2 linked regions of the Arabidopsis thaliana genome follow. The protein of the gene in region 2 interacts with the protein of the main gene of each other region in a biochemical or structural test. Each region holds a gene or a part of one and is shown on either strand. Other genes may lie near its edges.

Region 1 (4,930 bases), on a different chromosome or scaffold from region 2:
TGACTCTCAGTGTCTATGTGAAGCGTTTAAGAGCAGTGCTTCTCTTGGAGTTACTTTGAATATCACTAAGGCTTCTACTCTTCCCGCCGCATGCAAGCTTCACGCTCCTTCTATCGCTACTTGTGGATGTAAGATCTATTCATTTCTTAACTTGTTTGTTTCTTAGATCTCTTCCGGTTTTGTAGATCTTAATTTGTTATGCTTAATCTTCGAGAGCGGTTTCTTAAATCCACATTTTTTCTAATTTTTTCAGTTTAATTAAGAAAATAATTTGTAGATTTTTCGAAACTGTTTTAAGATTCTATTTTTTGTTGTTGTTGATGTTGATTAAATTACTTATAATGCTTTTTTATTTTATTTTTGTTCTTACAGTGTCTGTTGCTCCAAGTACTGCTCCAGGTATTTTGTCTTTCTTCTTGGTTGATTTTTAATTTTACTCTTAAGTTTTGTCTCATGCAATGCTTTATTGTGTTTTTAAATTCCCACTTGAAAATTTTGAAAAGATAAAAATTGTCGATTGTTTGACTTTGATCATCTGGGTTCTCACTTAAAGTGAAAATGATTTATCTAAGATTCTACAATACAAAAAATTATAATTAATACGAACCATGACAAAAATTTGTGTGAATTCCTTATTTGTGATTTTCTTTGTAAAAATTTGCTCGAGTGATTGGAAATCTCTGCTCTTTTTCTCCATGTTAGTTATGTGATTTCTCGTTGAGATGTTTTACGCTTTTGAGATTTCTTAATGTGGAACCTAATTTTATCAGGTCTTGCTCCAGGAGTAGCTGCTGCTGGACCTGAGACAGCCGGATTTCTAGCTCCAAATCCTTCTTCAGGGAACGATGGATCTTCTTTGATTCCGACCTCGTTCACAACTGTACTCAGTGCCGTACTGTTCGTTTTGTTCTTCTCTAGTGCGTAAAAAAAAACCTGAATCTTTTTTCACCAGCTAGATTTGGCTGTATGAAATTGATTAATGGTTTTTATTAGGGTTAATCTATGTATGTTTTGGAGTGTTCTGTTTTTAGACCATATCGGTTTCTCTATTACTAGCGTTTACTCTTTTAGTTTATGTTATTACTTTGTCTCACAACATTGGTCCTTTTATTCGATCTATCGCTTATTCCTTCATCTATGTTTTCTCTCACACCCTCATAGTTATATTCGCCAAAAGCTCAGGCAGAAACATTCTCAAAGTCCACTATACAAAAAAGAAATACTACAAGTAACATTTATATATTCTTTTTAAGAAAATTATGGTGTAATATTGCAATGACTAACAACAAAATTCTTTAATTTCGTTTTAATTTTCTCATAAAAACTGTGTAATAAAATACAGGAAATCATATGATATCATTTTAGTAGATGAAATTTTCTCATAATATCGTCATTGTCAGTAAGTAAGTCCCAACTTTTTGTCAAGAGTATCATATTTATATTTTGTTACAGTGTAGTTTGACTATAGTACCAATTACAACTTGTTCTATGAAACGAGTACAAAATTTCTTCATCTGAAAAGGAAATGCATGTGTTAAGAAAATTAGAGACGTGAAAGTGAAAGGAAACAAAATGTTTCGTGGCATCGTGAAAGATATAAATATATATCGTATTTTTTAAAAATCAGATTATTACTTCTTGTAATTAGCTTATCAGATTCAAAATTCAAAATCTCAATAGTAATAATCTTTTGAAAGAAAATAATGAAAAATCAACTGTCAACAAAAGTTAATCAACTGTCCAAGTGTCCCGTTGTGGACAAATCACGTTTACTTCCCACCAAGGATTTTCAACTTTATTATGATCGCGTGGACTTTCCAGCGCACGTTAGATCTCCTCCCTCGCCAAACCAAAATAATAATTAAATAGTACGAATTACTAAAAACCAAAAAATTAAAATTAATAAAAAAATGAAAATAATTTAAAAGTATTGCGAACGATAATTACTTTCCCCTCTCTCTCTCTCTCTCTGTCTGCCACCAACAGCCGAGGACGACGACCGTATCTTCCACCACAAACTGCTTCCGGCTGAGACGACGGCGATCTACTCCGGCTAATTCTGTTACTTGATTCTGCTCTGAATTTTAACAAGCAGAATTTCTCGGATAGCAGGAAGAACGGGATTAATTAGCTCATCGCTTGGTTCTCTACGTGAGATTTAGTTTTGGATTCTGGAGAAATTTCCGATCGCCTTCGGTTTACGGCGATTGGAGTGAGTAGGATACGGAGAAATCTCTATTTTCTGTGTTTTTTTCGCGATTTAGGAAAGTTAAGCATTATAAAGCCAAATTTCGTCGATTTGGCATTGAGATTTTGAGCTTTGGGTGGTTATAGATAGGTTTTTTGAGTTAAGGTTTTACGGGTAATCCTAGGGTTTAGTTATTGGGGAAGAGAGAGGCTCCGTTAATCTGGTTTGTTGGAAGAGTCTCCTGGATCTGTTGTCTCGACGGATGATTTGGGTCTGTGAGCTAGGGCTTTTTATGCTTGGCTGATTAGGATGCCGATGGGACGCTTTCTATCTTTGGTCCGAGGAGACTCGGCTGAGTCACCTCGTGAGATTACCTCACAGAGTAATATCATCGGCGATACTGGTTCTAATGGTTGGCTTATTAGGTTTTTCGATTCTGCTTTCTTCTGTGAGTGGATTGCTGTTAGTTATCTGTACAAGCACCCTCATGCTGGTGTTAGGGATTACTTATGCAATAGGATGTATACGCTTCCCTTATCAGGTATTGAGAGTTATCTCTTCCAGATTTGCTACATGATGGTGCACAAACCAAGCCCATCGCTTGATAAGTTTGTTATAGACATCTGTGGAAAGTCACTGAAAATCGCACTGAAAGTGCATTGGTTTTTGTTGGCTGAGCTGGAGGATGCTGACGATAATGAAGGCATCAGCAGGATTCAAGAGAAGTGTCAAATTGCAGCTACTTTGATGGGTGAGTGGTCTCCTCTCATGCGTCCACAGAACGAGGTCTCAACCCCAGGGAGCAAGAATCAGGTCCTAAATAGACTTTTGTCATCAAAACAGAAGCTCTTCTCCTTAAAGCTATCTCCTCCCACCCAGAAGTCTTTGTCATTCTCACCTTCGCCAGGGACCAACGTGCAGGATGATGGTAGTCAGTTACCTGCTGAGGACAATAAGATTTTTAAGAAACTTATCCCAAGTCCTAAAGTCAGAGATGCTTTAATGTTTAGAAAGTCAGCTGACAAAGATGATGAAGAGAGTGAAAAGGAAGGATTCTTCAAGAGGCTCTTGAGGGACAGCAAAGGTGAGGGTGATGAACCAATACCTAACTCAGAGGGTTTCTTTAAGCGCCTTTTGAAAGACAATAAATCAGAAGATGAGGACATAACAAACAGTTCCGAGGGGTTCTTCAAGAGGCTCTTGAGTAGTAAAGGAGAAAGCGAGGAATTGACATCGAGTTCAGATGGGCTGTTTAAAAGGTTGTTACGAGATAATAAGGGAGATGAAGAGGAATTGGGTGCAAATTCAGACAGTTTCTTCAAGAGATTGTTACGGGAGAGTAAAAACGAGGACGAGGAGTCAAACCCAAACTCAGAAGGTTTTTTTAAGAAATTATTCCGTGACAGCAAACCTGAAGATGATAAAGTTCCTAAAGAAGTGGATGATGAGGACAAAGATGGGTTCCTTAAGAAACTTTTCAGGGAAAAAAATGATGACAAAAGACATGGTAGTGAAAAGAATGAAGCCAATGGAACAGTGTATGCCGATAAGAAATCTGGTGAAGAGGATGAGAGGGAGGGGTTTTTCAAAAAATTCTTTAAGGAAAAATCTGATGACAAGAAAGACATTGTCAAGGTTGATGACGGGAATGAAAGTGAGGGTGATGAATCTCCAGAATTTTCTCTTTTCAAAAGATTATTCCGTATACATCCCGAAGATGCAAAACCTACTTCAGAAAATGAAAATAGCAGCAATGGCTTAGTTGAAAGCAGTCCTGGGACAGAAAACTTTTTCCGCAAGTTGTTCAGAGATCGTGACCAATCTGTTGAAGATTCTGAACTGTTTGGATCAAAGAAACACAAGGAGGTTTGTTCTCGTTTGACTTGGTCTTTTGTGTTTCTGTCTTATTGCATATACTGGTTGCATTTGCACTGTTTTGACATTCAGTTTTCATTTGATCCACATCTTCAGAGTCATTTATCAAGATTCTTGTAGGATACAATCATATGTCTTTCCTTCTTTTGAATTTTACTTGACACAAATGTTGGCTGAAACAGGGTGGTTGTTCGACTTCAATTGATTATTTATCTATGCCAGACTTTTTTTCTTTCATATGAGCTTGATTATCTCATACCAATGTTTCTTATTATAACCATTGCAGAAACGGCCAGGCTCACCTAAACAGCGGGATGATACTCCATCTGGTAAGCCCCCGCTACCAAACAATACTGCATCACAATTCAGGAAAGGGGCTTACCACGAGTCGTTGGAGTTTGTACAAGCGTTATGTGAAACGTCATATGGTTTGGTAGATATCTTTCCCATCGAAGATCGGAAGATTGGTCTTCGGGAGGTGAAACTGACTTTTCTTATTGATAATTAAATTTATGTCAAATTCTACCTTTGTAGCAACTGACTAAATTTTATATTTCTTTTGTTTGGTTTTAGTCTCTTGCAGAGATCAATTTTCATTTATCGGAAGCTGAAATCACTGGAGGTATTTTTCTAAAATTATATTTTAAGAGTTATTATTTGGAGGTCTACTTTATATGTGTAGCTCAAATATATTGAGCCGGTATATATTCTATAGGCCATGTATGCTTTTCTCTGAAATAGTATGTGAACGTTTCATGCCCTGTTAAAGTTTCTGAGTGCTCATCGTGTTGCTTGTCTTAAATTAGTATTATGTCCGTTATATCATATTTATTTCCACTCTTGTTTGAAGAATCTATGTTTTTCCAT
Region 2 (6,649 bases):
GCTGAATATATCAAATATATGTATATGTATTTTTTTGCGTTAACTTAGCCAATTAAACACGTAACATTCGTGTTTAATGTTTTTAATTTGCCTAAGGCAATATTTTATTTTCGTCAAAAACAAGTAACCGAAGACACTTGTTTCTTTCGAAATCAGTACTCAATAAAATAAAGTTTTGTGTAAGACTAATTTTAGAGATTCTCTTAGTAGTTGACCAAAAAAAAACAAAGATGTTTTACATCAGATTCGAAGTACCACAGTTTATAAGTATGCCAATACGTGTGATTGAATACATCAATATAATTAGATCTTATCTTACATATTTGTGGACAATTAAGTCGGTATTTCGCTAAGAATGTTTTTTTTTTTTGCAAATCAAAATGTGTATTCTATGACAATATAAAAATCATATACACAAATAAATGATGGCTAGGAATCGAAAAAGATGTGTCCTCGTGGGTTTTTAGAATTGAAAGCGTCAAAAAAGAAACACTAGAGCTTTCAGATTTCAAGTATACAGCGAAGAGTAATGAGATGCCTTGAATATGGAATGGGAAAGTATCTCAGTATGGCGTAGAGTACCAACGCGTTATGGTGTATGAATGGGAAAAAATACATTCATTCAACCATATTTTATACTCCTAATATTTATATTTATTCGTATCGTGTGATTTTTTCATTAATGTGGACAAAAGTTATTGAGTACTTTTAGGTTTTAACTGGGGATCCACCCCCAGCATTAACGTCGGCTTCGAGTACCGAAATAAAATAAACGGTGTAGTAATGACGAAATAACATAAATAAGTGTCGAATAGCTCCAACACGTAGAACAAACGCAAGAAAACAAATGTTAAATGGTCAGTTTATGAAGATATAAAAACAAGGAGTATCAAACTTGAATTAAGGTTTTAAGAACATTTTGAGTGATTCAATTGCTTCTTTTATACAAAAAGTTTAAACTCAGATTACGTACGCCCACGTTCCCTTGAAGTATATTTTTAATTTTTCCTAATGCGGTTGTAATATATTTTTATAAAGATTTTAATTAAATGGTGATCAAATGTGTTAGATACTCTAACCACCACAGCCGTGGTAACTAACCACTGACCACTCGTACGTATAATACAATTTTAGAAATATACATACTTAATATGTGGTGTATTAGGTATTTTTGTAGCATTTTTTTTTGTTAAAATGTTACACGTTTGAATTATGAAGTTTACGTGCACGGTCGCAACTCGCAATATAGTTTTTATGATGTTTGTGGTTATTCGAATGACAATCATGTCCTACTACTAGCACTTCAAATCAAAGTACACGAACCTATAGCCTATAGGATGATGTATGTCTATTTATGCGAAACCAAACTATAAAAAATCTCGATTATTTATCAAATAAAATATTAGACCTAATTTACAAATGGCGGACAAAAACTCAACTTTAAAATGTAAACCTTTGGCACTATCAATATCAACATAAAAACGTTAAAAAAATAACGCAACTTTAGAATTTCATATACTACTTGCATCAACCATCTTCTGTATCTATCACTATCCGTATGGGAATATAAGTATCCTTTAAATTAATAAATCATCGCAAGTAGGAAGAGAATCAATACTCGAAAAGATATAAAAAAAACCCACCAAGACAACGATCATCTAATCACAGAAGAGAACAAAATTCTTAGAATCATAAAAGTAATTAATTAAGTAAGTCATCAAAGACAATCACCTGGAAACTCGCTTCCTAATCAAGATTTCTCGATAATCCTCTCAATCATAATCATTTCTCTACTATCAATAAAATAAGTAAACAAAGGTAGACCATAAACTAATCATTTGGTCTTCTACTATTAACGTATGAAGTAGCCCATACTATATCATATCGCTTTAAATTATACAAAGACAAATTCGAAACAATCTCGAGTACGTATGTATTATTAATTTTATGTTTACACTACGGTGTCGTTTTCAAATTTTTAATAATATTGTGGGTTTCTTTTTCGGGCTGGTGGGCTTTTTGTGTCCGCTTCCCAATACTTTTATTTTATAAATTAAAAATTAATCATCGTCTCTCTTGTGTCTCTCTGTTCATCACTTTTCTTCTTTTGATGTTCTTGTAGCGTCTGTACGAAATCTCACAAGGTTTCTTCTTCTCAGATTTAGAAATACTTGTGTGATATCTTCTGAGTAACCAAATTCTTGATAAAGTTTCTAGCTTTATTCAAACCCATTTGAAAAATCCGGTGGTGAATCGCCGGAGAAATGTGTTTTTCGTTTCTCCACTGAGTTTTTTTTGTTAAGAAATCTGTTAAAACTCTAGATTTCAAACGAATGACATTTTCTGAGATTGAGGAACATTGTGAATCGAGGACTGGAGTGAAGATTCTCTGATGAGTGATTCAGAAGAAGACGAAGAAGAAGAAGAAGCTAGTGAAGTCATTTTAAGCAGCGTCGTTCAGAAGAAGAAGAAGAAGAATCTGCGTTTCGGTGAAGAAGTAGAGAGACGAGACGGTTTGGTGTTGTTAGCTCAATCTACTCCAATGGTGAGATCGAGATCTCAAGGAACGACTCGGCGCGTGACTCCCACGCCTTTAGTAGATGTTGAGAAGCCGCTACCAAACGGAGATCTTTACATCGGAAGTTTCTCCGGTGGGTTTCCACATGGATCCGGGAAGTATCTATGGAAAGATGGGTGCATGTACGAAGGAGATTGGAAACGAGGGAAAGCTTCAGGGAAAGGCAAATTCTCATGGCCAAGTGGAGCTACTTACGAAGGTGAATTCAAATCTGGGAGAATGGAAGGTTTTGGTACTTTCACTGGAGCTGATGGAGATACTTATAGAGGAACTTGGGTTGCTGATAGAAAACACGGACATGGACAAAAGCGTTATGCAAATGGAGATTTTTATGAAGGTACTTGGAGAAGGAATCTACAAGATGGTAGAGGTAGGTATGTGTGGAGAAATGGGAATCAGTATACTGGAGAGTGGCGTAGTGGTGTGATTTCTGGGAAAGGTTTGCTTGTTTGGCCTAATGGGAATCGATATGAAGGTTTGTGGGAGAATGGGATTCCTAAAGGGAATGGTGTGTTTACTTGGAGTGATGGGAGTTCTTGTGTTGGTGCTTGGAATGAGAGTAATATTATGAGGAGTTTCTTTAATGGTGTTGAGAAGAATGATTTGATTGTGGGGAATAGGAAGAGATCTTCTGTTGATAGTGGAGCTGGGAGTTTGGGAGGTGAGAAAGTTTTTCCAAGAATCTGTATTTGGGAATCTGATGGTGAAGCTGGAGATATCACTTGTGATATTATTGATAATGTTGAAGCTTCCATGATTTATAGAGATAGGATCTCTGTTGATCGTGATGGGTTTAGGCAGTTTAAGAAGAATCCTTGTTGGTTTAATGGTGAGGCTAAGAAACCTGGACAGACTATTTCTAAAGGGCATAAGAAATATGATTTGATGCTGAATTTGCAATTAGGAATCAGGTAAATATCTCAAATTTGGTGGATTGGTGTTTTTGTTTGGTGTGTGATGGCTTTCTCTGTTGTTTCTAATGAAGGTTGTGTGTGATTGAATTAGGTATTCTGTTGGCAAACATGCTTCGATTGTTCGTGATCTTAAACAGACTGATTTCGATCCAAAGGAGAAATTTTGGACAAGGTTTCCACCAGAAGGGACTAAGACAACACCGCCGCATCAGTCAGTGGATTTCAGGTGGAAGGATTATTGCCCTTTAGTGTTCAGGTAACTTTTTAGCTTTTTTATTTTTATGAAAAGTGTTTCAATTTAGCAAATTGCTGAATGCGTTTTAAGTTTGATGATGTGGCTATACCCAAATTTGGGCTTAGTTGATAAGATTGTGGACGTATTTGTGATGAATTGTGTTTCTTTTTGGGCAAATTTTGTTTGTAGACGTCTCAGGGAGCTTTTCCAAGTGGATCCAGCTAAGTATATGCTAGCTATATGTGGAAATGATGCTCTCCGCGAACTATCTTCACCTGGAAAGAGTGGAAGCTTTTTTTACCTAACTCAAGATGATAGATTTATGATCAAAACGGTGAAGAAATCAGAAGTCAAGGTTAGTAGTTGTTGGCTCTTCTTGTTTTTGACCTTTCTCTTGTCATATTTGAAAATGCTTGTCTGTTCAAGTTAATTTACTTGATTAGCGGATGGGACACCCTTTTTGTTTGTTTGTTTCTTTGCTTTCACATTACTTTCTCAATCATAAACTCCACTAAGTCTGTGATTAGCTAAAGAAATTTGACCTGAAGTGTTTGTCTTCTTCTATCCAGGTTCTTCTAAGAATGCTTCCAAGTTACTACAAACATGTCTGCCAATACGAAAACTCCCTTGTGACTAGATTCTACGGTGTTCATTGTGTCAAACCTGTTGGTGGCCAAAAGGTATGTGTTTGTTCATCTAAAGCTTCATGGGTCTCTTAGTGTCAAGAAAATTTACTGTTTTGTTTACCATTTTTGATCAGACTCGGTTTATCGTTATGGGAAACTTATTCTGCTCCGAGTATAGAATCCAGAGACGGTTTGACCTCAAAGGGTCTTCTCATGGGCGTAGCACTGCAAAGCCTGAAGGAGAAATTGATGAGACCACGACTCTCAAGGACCTTGATCTCAATTTTTCTTTCCGTCTTCAGAGAAACTGGTATCAAGAGCTTATGAAGTAAGCTCCATGCTTCTCACTATTTTTTGCGTATGCAAAGTATTCAGCTACCTAAACATATGCTAATGCTGATCGGTATTCATGATCAGGCAAATAAAACGCGATTGTGAGTTCTTGGAAGCAGAGAGAATAATGGATTATAGCCTTTTAGTTGGTGTTCACTTCCGTGATGACAACACAGGAGAAAAGATGGGGCTTTCTCCATTCGTTTTGAGATCTGGTAAATTATACATCATTGATCATTCTCTATATGTGTCCCCCCGCTGAAGTCGACCTATCGTGAGATTTATGTCAATCTTATGCAGGTAGGATAGATTCATATCAGAATGAAAAATTCATGCGCGGTTGTCGCTTCCTAGAGGCAGAACTTCAAGACATGGACCGGATTTTAGCTGGCAGGTAACAATCATTGATCCGGGTTTCATTTTTAATGTTAAGAAGTTGACTTCACAGAGGAAGCTTTTTGCATTCATAGCCATTGAGACATGAAGTGGTTGAGAGATTCAATTTCGGATTAAGTATATAATATATGTAGGAATGATTAAATGTGCTTGGCAATCTTGTGTGGGGAGTGTTTAAACAAGTCATGTGGTCCTGTTTGCTAGAAAAGAATCAATCAATTCATGATCCATCAATTTTTGCTTAATATTCAATCTTGTGTTAACAGGAAACCATCGATCAGATTAGGCGCAAACATGCCAGCAAAAGCTGAACGAATGGCCCGGAGAAGCGATTTTGATCAGTATTCATCAGGAGGAGCCAGTTATCCATCACACGGTGAGATGTACGAAGTTGTTCTCTACTTTGGAGTCATTGACATCTTGCAAGACTACGACATAACCAAAAAGATCGAGCATGCGTATAAGTCACTGCAAGCCGATCCTGCTTCGATCTCAGCTGTTGATCCTAAACTCTATTCAAAGAGGTTCAGAGACTTCATCAGTAGGATCTTCATTGAAGAGGGCTAAAGACAAGAAGGCTAAAGTTTTTAACTAACATTCTCGGCTCTACGGAAATGTGAAGAAAGCTGCGCGGGAAGAGTAAAAAGGTAAATCTCAAGGATAGAAGAAAAGCGATTTCGGAATTTTATGTTTATATATTTTGAGATGACCAATCAAGTTTTTGGGTTGGGGAGGGGCTTTATTTATTTTTGTGGTGAGCCGTTTATATATATAATATTTATATATGTGAATATAGATTGAAGGTTTTAGTACATAGGCAGACAAGAAATTACAAGGAAAAAAGGGTTTGGTAAATTCCGAAAATGTGGAATAAAGTAAAGTGTACAAGTAAAAAAATGAAAGATAGTAATACCATTAATTAGTTCTCTTAATCCCATATTCTCATAGGATCCCTCCTTAACCATCCAAAGTTAAGGGGTCCATTATTTTGTTGTTGTTTATTTTCTTTCAATACAACTTTACCACTTGCATAATCTATGAACCTAAAGCAATGTCAATGGTAAACAGTAAATGCTAAAATAGTTGATTAGTAAAATAGTATATGGTCAAAGAAGGAAGAGTTGAATTGGGGTTGGTTTCATGAAAAGTAGATAAAGCTAAACTAGCACACCACATGTCTTTTCTTTGCATTCTTTTTGTCTAAATCTCTTAAGTCTAGTTTTTTTCATATGTGATAGCTTCACAAAGTATAAGACTGTTATTCAAATTAAAGTCTTAGATCTTTTAATAAAAACTAAAAGTCTAAGAAGCCTGAAACGGTTTGTTTATCTATGAATTCATTTAATTACGCTTGGATTCTGATCAACAATCCATTGCATCATCGTTAATTCTCAAAAAAACTAAAACTGGTTTTTTCAGACTTGACATGGTTTTATATTTTGTTTACATTAAAAGAATTTGTATATTTTTTCTTTCCAAAGTAAACAGTAGTGAGTAGACAATTATTGTTTTTCATTAAGTTTAATACTTTCTACAGTCCATATAATTGCTTTCATTGGTAATAATA

What was found.
Region 1: the proteins of PIP5K1 (region 2) and PI-4KBETA1 form a complex in vitro, tested with the Arabidopsis thaliana proteins (one study listed by BioGRID).

The regions. Positions count from the first base shown.
Region 1 is NC_003076.8:25,641,470-25,646,399, reverse strand, and holds the start of PI-4KBETA1 (phosphatidylinositol 4-OH kinase beta1), read left to right. Parts: upstream 1-1,921; 5' UTR 1,922-2,497; coding exon 2,498-4,054; intron 4,055-4,349; coding exon 4,350-4,541; intron 4,542-4,636; coding exon 4,637-4,685; intron 4,686-4,930. Other genes in the region: XYP1 (Bifunctional inhibitor/lipid-transfer protein/seed storage 2S albumin superfamily protein), read left to right, coding at 1-128, 373-399, 771-925. UniProt on the Arabidopsis thaliana protein: Acts on phosphatidylinositol (PtdIns) in the first committed step in the production of the second messenger inositol-1,4,5-trisphosphate. Necessary for proper organization of the trans-Golgi network (TGN) and post-Golgi secretion in root hairs.
Region 2 is NC_003070.9:7,732,661-7,739,309, forward strand, and holds PIP5K1 (phosphatidylinositol-4-phosphate 5-kinase 1), read left to right. Parts: upstream 1-2,000; 5' UTR 2,001-2,392; coding exon 2,393-3,489; intron 3,490-3,583; coding exon 3,584-3,748; intron 3,749-3,916; coding exon 3,917-4,082; intron 4,083-4,296; coding exon 4,297-4,407; intron 4,408-4,487; coding exon 4,488-4,681; intron 4,682-4,770; coding exon 4,771-4,901; intron 4,902-4,986; coding exon 4,987-5,080; intron 5,081-5,348; coding exon 5,349-5,649; 3' UTR 5,650-6,112; downstream 6,113-6,649. UniProt on the Arabidopsis thaliana protein: Catalyzes the synthesis of phosphatidylinositol 4,5-bisphosphate and phosphatidylinositol 3,4-bisphosphate.